Ovis aries: one gene and its partner. The protein of the gene in region 1 binds, or shares a complex with, the protein of each later gene. Links are inferred from orthologs where the notes say so. Each region holds a gene or a part of one and is shown in the gene's direction. Other genes may lie near its edges. The genes, in order: WASHC4 and WASHC3.

Region 1 (3,516 bases):
CTGGAGAAGGAAATGGCAACCCACTCCAGTATCCTTGCCTGAAAAATCCCATGGACAGAGGACAGAGTCCATGGGATCGCAAAGAGTCGGACACGACTGAGAGACTTCACTCAAGCTTTTAAATAAAGCAGACCTACTTTTCTGACTCAACTTTGCTTTAGATTATGGCTTTAGGGAAAGTACTAAACTTCTCAAGTCTTAGTCCCTTCATCTGTAAAATGTACATATTTTAGTAAGCATCTTATAACAAGGCACTGTGCTTGGGTTAAGTGGTGATTGAGGGAGTGCTGACATTTAAAGGATTTGGAAAAGAGCCATTATGAGATACTTACACATACTGTGACCTCACCAAGAGGCTTTTTATATGAGGCAAGTGTTTCAAATCAAAAAGGCAGGAACTTAGAAGAGATCCTATTTATAAGTTTTGAAATGTCTGTTTTAGGAACTAAATTCTGACGACTCTCTTTAGCACAGTCGTTTCTCTGATATGTTGTTATATCTTTTTAGACCCTCAACTTTGTAGAGCATTCCATTAGTTGCAAGGAGAAATTGAATAAAAAAAATAAAATTGGAGCTGCCTTTACTGATGATGGCTTTGCCATGGGTAAGTTTAATGAAATTCTTTTCCCATGAATTTTGTGTTTACCTTACAGTGAATTTTTTGAAATGTTTGCTTGAGAATAGATCTATGTGCTCTTTGTAGATTTGTTTTTCACAAGCTGTGTTTATTTACTGTTTACTTTTTAGGTGGGTCATCTGATTGGTAATGCTTGTTTCCCATCATTTGTACTGTTCATGCTCCTTTGGTGTTGCTAATCACTTGGATTAATTATTTAGGCTTTGTTTTTGTTGTAGTTTTACAGTCTGACCATCTTTTATTTAGTCTCTCTGCTTTCCTTATCGTTTCCTCACTTGTCTCTTTAGCAGGAGAACCACTCTTACAGCCCTGTGTTATCTCCAGGTGATCTGCAGATCTTCATAGCCATATTATTTCTTTTTATCGTCCTGATTGGCTTTTTAAAAAAAAATTTCTTTATAGGATCACATCTTTTTAAGGAGGAATTAAGCCATGTTGCTAAGTTTCTCATTTGTGCTGTAAAGCATAATTGGAAAGAGGATTAATTTTAAAATGGTTAGCTTAATTTTAAGAATTGTTGGTAGAGTGGAATACAGTTTGTGTACACATTGTAATTTGATTTGGTTTTGCTGATGACTCTAGGTGTGGCTTACATTCTGAAGCTTTTGGATCAGTACCAGGAATTTGACTCACTTCACTGGTTCCAATCTGTTAGAGAGAAATACCTGAAGGAGATGAGAGCAGTTGCTAAGCAACAAAATGTACAGTCAACTAGTCAGGATGAAAAACTACTACAAACCATGAATCTCACTCAGAAACGACTGGATGTTTATCTACAGGTAGAGGAGAATAATAGTCAAATCTGGTTTGACTTTTTAATACCCATTACTTCTTGATCACTGAAAAAATGTCAATCATATTGAAACTCCCATTTTAATAGGTGAAATGAATAATGGTCATAAAGAGTATATTTTTAAATGAATGATACTTGGAAGCCATTTGACTCATATCTTTAAAAATGGATAGATTGCTTAGTTCAGTTTCTGTATTTATGATGTGCACTTACTAGAGCATTTTAGAAAAATGAAGAGATATTAAATATGGTAATTTTGATATTTTGCTAAAATATATATTTTCAACTTTTATTTCTGATATTTTTATTTACTTAGGAATTTGAATTGCTGTATTTCTCACTGAGCAGTGCAAGAATTTTCTTCAGAGCTGACAAGACTGCAGCTGAAGAAAACCAAGAAAAGAAAGAGAAAGAAGGTTAGTGAGTGGCTTTTATTTGGAAAGACTAGTAAATCTTTCATCAATAATAGATATGAATACCCCATTTTATTGAGTCAGACTTTTCTTTTTGAAAAAATATATAAGCCTAGAAATATCCTTTTTTTAAAAAGTAAAGCCTAAGTGGATCATTTGTGAAACTGAAATTTAACATGCATTTCATTCTGGAATAACACTTTATTCAGCTCATCTTCTCTTAATTTAAAATTGCACCAAGTTTGGGTTTTTTCTTTCACCCTTCAGCTGTTAGCAGTTGAGAAGGAACAGATTAGAGGAGACTAAATGCTGCTGAGGGCAGGACTGCTGACTGGATGCTGACTGAATGCCAGGCCAAGTGACTCAGGACGCTTTCAGTATCAGAGTGAATAGCCTCCTGTGCCCCTCTATAGCCGGAGCTTGGAGAATCAGAGCAGTACAGCCATAGTAACTGATGGTCACTGGGCAGAGGATTCTGTCTGATATCATCTATGCGGGTGTAAATTCTTCAGTATTTCATACTTAAGGGACCCTCATGATCATTTCCCAGATTTGAAATTTAACACCAGTTGTTTTCTCTGAAAAATGGTAATTTCCTTTTTTCTGTTATGGAAGTTATGCCGCTTAGGCTTCCTCTGTGGACGCTCAAAACTACGTACAGCAACTTGACGGGTTTCATGTTTGCTCTGCTTCCTTTCTTCATGCCCGTATTTATTTCACAATGATCAAGAATAAAAGAACTTCATGAACTATGATATTTTTATTAATCTTATCAGTTAAATTTTTAAAATATGTATTTCACACTGAAGAGACATCATTCATTTCAGTAGACCACTTACATCCATTACCCTGTTTCCTATTGATAATGTTACATCAGTATTACTAGCATATGCAAGCATTTTTGGAATCTATACTAAGTAAGTGTGCTTGAAAAATGATTTCAGGCTGTTGCCTGGAAGATACTCAGTATTTATTAAATGAAAAAATATATTTACTACTTTGGGGTTCATTTAAAAATAATACTTAGCAGAGTCATCTGGAAGAATCTGAGTCAGTAGTAACTGAACTGTGAGTTCAGTTTAGATTAGAATCTAAGAGTTTAGATTCAGTAACTGAACTCTTAGAATCTAAGAGTTTAGATTCAGTAGTTCAGTTACTGCGTAGGCTGTGCTCAGGCCTGTCATGATGCCAGAACTTTGTCTGCAGGTGGACTGGATATTTACTTTTAAAGCCTAGAGCATTAAGACAAAATAAACATTGCAGTCTCAGTAGAGCTCCTTGCTTTGGACTGCTATTCTTAGGAACTCTCTGGGGTTTGGGGTTAATGTATGTCACCCAGATATCTGCCTGATGCCTGGGTGGTGGCTCTGCTGTAGGGCTGTTAGCTAAAGGTTGCTCAGAGTTGCTAAATGTATTAGCTAAATAGTTTTGCTCTGTTAATGAAATATATGCATATGAAATTTTGCACAAAAAGCCAGAATTCATTTTATTATGTTCATAATAAAAAATCACATTAAAAAATAAACTATAAACATAATTGGGAAGGTATTCATTCTGGACAGTTTTATATGTGAATTTGCAGTCATGTTTTTACCAGTAACAGCACTACAGTTTCCTTGCCCATGCAGAGGAATGTACAGTGTGAAACCAACCCCATTCCAGACACAGTTCTG
Region 2 (4,559 bases), about 2.8 Mb from region 1:
CTTGCAATGCAGGAGACCCTGGTTCGATTCCTGGGTCAGAAGGATCCCCTGGAGAAGGCATAGGCTACCCAGTCCTATATTCTTGGGCTTCCGTGGTGGCTCAATGGTAAAGAATCTGCCTGCAATGCAGAAGACCTGGGTTCGACCCCTGGGTTGGAAAGATCCACTGGAGAAGTGCATGGCAATCCACTATTCTTGCCTGGAGAATCCCCACAGACAGAGAAGCCTGGCTGGCTACAGTCTATGGGGTCACAACGAATCGGACACATCTGAGAGATCTAAGCACAGCATCACTCCTGGGGGAAGTGGGGAGCAGGGTAGGGGGTATTTAAATTTATTTTCCCACTATGCTGAACCAATACTATACTCCTCTAATTGTTCATCCTGAAGCAGAGCAGAAAGAAAAACAAAGAAATAGGAACACAGTCTTCTCATTTCCCCTACCTAAGAACTGACTCATGATAAAAGTGACTTTCTAGTTATCTGCTATGAAAACAAAGATAACTATTAAAAGATTCTTAAAGACTTTTTAATTTAATGGCTATATGCAGGTGGCATTTCAAATGCCTGACTCTTCAAATCAGTATTCATTACAATTTACTTGCTTTGTCTCCAGAATTTAGTACAATAAGTGAAATCCAATGAGAGAAACTCTAGAGGAAGGATTATATATTCCACAGGATTTCTGGCAGTTGTCCAAAACTTCTAGATATTGTCTTTAACAGCCCTGGAAATTCACTTAAGTTGTGAGTGGCACTGCTGTCAGGAGCTATGGATGATTGATGAACAGTAATGATCAAGGATCCTAGGAGATGGAGAGACACTCCCACTTTTCTGTTAACTAGAAATTACATCTCATAGCATTATATTTCTTTTCTTTTTTAAAGAGCACTTAAAAAATTTTTTTTTGTCAATCGTCCGACTTAGGATAACGTTTCTATAGTTCTCTACTGCTGCTGCTGCTAAGTCGCCTCAGTCGTGTCCGACTCTGTGCAACCCGATAGACGGCAGCCAACCAGGCTCCCCCATCCCTGGGATTCTCCAGGCAAGAACACTGGAGTGGGTTGCCATTTCCTTCTCCAATGCATAGTTTTCTCTATAGATACATATGCTAAACCTCATTCAATCTTTGTATTCACCACAAGGCCTAGCATAGTATCTGGCACTTTTTTTTTTTTAATTAACGAATAACTTAGCTGCATATATAACACACCAGACTAAGCAGGGATAAACTCAAACAGACCCCACGGTTTACTTTTTTATTTTGGAGTGGGGCCAGACTGGAGGTAGGTAGTTAAGACTGCTAGACTACAGCCTTGCTCCACCCGACCCCGCCTTGTTTGACGTCACAATCCGGAGCTGGAACTACCATTCCCAGAATGCCGTGCGAATGGGCCGGCTCTCTGGAAGGCGCCGAGTGATTGGCGGGAGGAGGCGTTTCCTTCCGGCGTTTCCCCGGACCCGGAGGCGTGGACTAGGAGAGGCGTTCGGACGCTATTACCGCGTTGGGCGGGCCTGGCTGGGGAGGGGTTTGGGGGTGAGCCCTGAGTCCCCCGCCCGCTGAGGAGATGGATGAGGATGGGCTTCCTCTCATGGGCTCAGGCATAGACCTAACTAAGGTTTGTAAAGATGGAGTTGGATTTCGGCGACCTGGGAGGAGGATGGGGAAGGGACTCTGGGTTCCCAGAAAGACCCCACCACTCTGCCCAACCCTGGCCTGTGCGTGTCTTCCCCCTCTCTTGGGAGGGAGGGTTCCACAGTTCACCTTAAAAATGGGTCCTTCCCGAGCCTTCTAAGGTGGGGCGGGAGTAGTTTGCCTCTCCTCTCCTTCCCTTCCCGAGTCACGAGTTCTTATGTTCAAGGGTAAGAACTCTTACCTGTTCCGACCTCTTTTATATTTGGCCCTTCCAGTTTTTCGTGTGTTTGTGTGTGTTCCCTTTACCTGCGAAAGTTCGCATCTGTGAATCCAGAACCCGTTCTCAAACTTTGCAGCCTCTGTCATTTTGGACACCCCACCCCCACAGTTTAGGAAAACAAGTTAATGACTATTCGCAGTACTTCCAGTAACTATCACACAGGAGAACGCCTCCTTATTATTAATATCAAGGTGATTTCGTGCTGTACGTTTCGGCCTGTACGGATCATGTTTATTTTTACGTAAAACAGGTGCCAGCTATTCAACAGAAAAGAACGGTGGCTTTTCTAAACCAGTTTGTGGTGCACACTGTACAGTTCCTCAACCGCTTTTCTACAGTTTGTGAGGAGGTAGGTCCTTTGATACTGGTTGAATGAGTGGCCCAATGTCACCTTGCACTTTAGAAGGTAACAAATGAGTAAAGTAAGAATTATGGTGTATGCAGTCATGTACTATGACCTCTTGTCCCCCAGTTATTGTGTTGACATAGCTTAAATCCTCTTTGATTCTATTACCGTCAGTTCCTACAGCTCATCTCTGCTGAATGAACTTTCTGGAGGCTTTGTGAAATAGTTCAGTAAGGTTTATTGTGATTAAACAACAAAAGCAGTTCCCAGATTTCACAAAAACTTCTTTTTTTTAATTTTGAAGTTTCTCTTACCCTAAGGATTGCATTTTAAATATATACTGTTTCAGTTTCTATTAAAATTATGTTACATTGCTTCATGGAAAAGATGATTGGGGAGGTAGCCTAGAAACATAACTTGGGCATCAAATATCATGATAGAAGTAAAAATACTTTCTGCAAATGAGTTGTGAATTAAGGATCAAGTAACCCAATGACCCAGGTGGCACAGTGGTAAAAGAGTCTGTCTGCCAGTGCAGGAGACATGGGCTTGATACCTGGGTAGGGAAGATCCCCTGGACTAGGAAATGGCAACCCACTCCAGTATTCTTGCCTGGGAAATCCCGTGGATAGAGGAGCCTGGTGGGCCACAGTTCATGGGGTCGCAAAGGGTCGGAAACAATAGCATGCACACACAGCCCAGTGACAGGTTAGGTACCATATCCAGGGACACCTGTCTTAACAAAAAACTAAAAGAGAGTGGGAAGGAAAATGGGAAGCATGACTTGAAATTGGTTTGAAGAAAGGAGAAAAAGAGGACAAAGAAGTGGGACAGTGATCTAAAACCAAAAGGTGTTCTTGATCAGTTTTGTTTAATACTTGAGGATCATGTAAAACCTTAGGGCTCCACTTTGGGGTCATGAACTACCTGAGTGCTGAAATTACTGTTCATCATTTGAGTATCCCCCACGATCCAGTCTTTGAATGAGACTGTTCATAGAGGGATGGTTGCTGCCTATAAAGTGTAGGAATATAGATGTCCTTGGGGCCATTATTCTGTGTTAAGAACAGGATACACTTATATATACTTTAATATATTAAAATCATTGTGCTCAGTCCATAGGCTAGAGAAAATTCCCACACAGATAGGACAGTATTTCTCCATAAGCTTGCAAATTCTACTTTACAAAAGGTCAGTGACCACTCAAAATTAAATACCCCTTCTGTGGGGAATCCCCGATGGCTCAGCTGAATCTGCTAGCAGTGCAGGAAACGGGAGACGCAGGTTTGATCCCTAGGTGGGGAAGATCCCCTGGAGGAAGAAAATAGCAACCCACTCCAGTATTCTTGCCCAAAGTATCTCACGGACAGAGGAGCCTGATGGGCTTCAGTCCACAGGGTATCAAAGGGTCAGGTCTCTGAGAGTTGAGCCTCAAAGAATTGGACACAACTGAGCACACATACAGATAGAGTATAACAAAAACTATCTTGTTGATTGCTTATCCATTATCAAAGCGTCATGATTCATTCTTTCCTCCCTTCTGTTCCTCTCTCAACTACCCCCCTCCAACTGTTTTGACTATATCACTATTTCCTGCTGCTTCCTTGAACCCCAGAAAAAACTTTGTTGACAAAAATTCATGAAATTTAAAAGTAGCTAATTGCCTTTTTCTCCTTAATGGATGGTAATTTAGGATTGACTGTCACTCATTTAGAATTCAGCTTGTAGCATTCATCTTGGATGTTTATGTCAATTGTAGACTTTTTACTTGGTGTGATGACAATAATATTTATTGTGTACTTATTCTGTGCTAGGCATTGTGCTAAGTGCTTTACGTGTACTTAATTATCACAGCCCAGACCTTTAAGAAAGGTCCAATTATCTCTTTTCTAGAAACACAGAAACTGAGATGTAGAAAGGCTTAAATCATTTACTTAGTCATTTATTCATGCACTCTTCATATATTTGAGGGCATAGTATTTATAGCTGCAGTAGCTACTTGCCTACATTCAAACAGCTAGAAAGTAAGAGCTGGGATTCCAATTCTGATCTGTTACCTGGTTGCAATCTTCTGTTCTGTTGCACCATCTAATTGAATAAGAGGCATGTTTATATCATTTTCAAGTGAGAGATTACACTGTCTTCTTTATAGCTATTTCAAAATTTAGTTTTTAGATTTGTGTTCTCTTCTTTACCATGCCATTTCTATTTAATAAAATGTCTTTTATATGATAAACTCCAGGGATATAATATACATATTCATACATGAAGGGCCATTTTCTCCCAAGTTAAGATCA

Evidence for each region.
Region 2: WASHC4 (region 1) and WASHC3 share a complex: the UniProt entries of both Homo sapiens proteins name them as parts of the WASH core complex. The link is inferred for Ovis aries from reciprocal best matches to the Homo sapiens genes WASHC4 and WASHC3.

The regions. Positions count from the first base shown.
Region 1 is NC_056056.1:174,304,101-174,307,616, forward strand, and holds part of WASHC4 (WASH complex subunit 4), read left to right. Parts: intron 1-507; coding exon 508-604; intron 605-1,219; coding exon 1,220-1,416; intron 1,417-1,746; coding exon 1,747-1,846; intron 1,847-3,516. UniProt on the Homo sapiens protein: Acts as a component of the WASH core complex that functions as a nucleation-promoting factor (NPF) at the surface of endosomes, where it recruits and activates the Arp2/3 complex to induce actin polymerization, playing a key role in the fission of tubules that serve as transport intermediates during endosome sorting.
Region 2 is NC_056056.1:171,460,484-171,465,042, reverse strand, and holds the start of WASHC3 (WASH complex subunit 3), read left to right. Parts: upstream 1-1,546; 5' UTR 1,547-1,568; coding exon 1,569-1,619; intron 1,620-2,166; coding exon 2,167-2,265; intron 2,266-4,559. UniProt on the Homo sapiens protein: Acts as a component of the WASH core complex that functions as a nucleation-promoting factor (NPF) at the surface of endosomes, where it recruits and activates the Arp2/3 complex to induce actin polymerization, playing a key role in the fission of tubules that serve as transport intermediates during endosome sorting.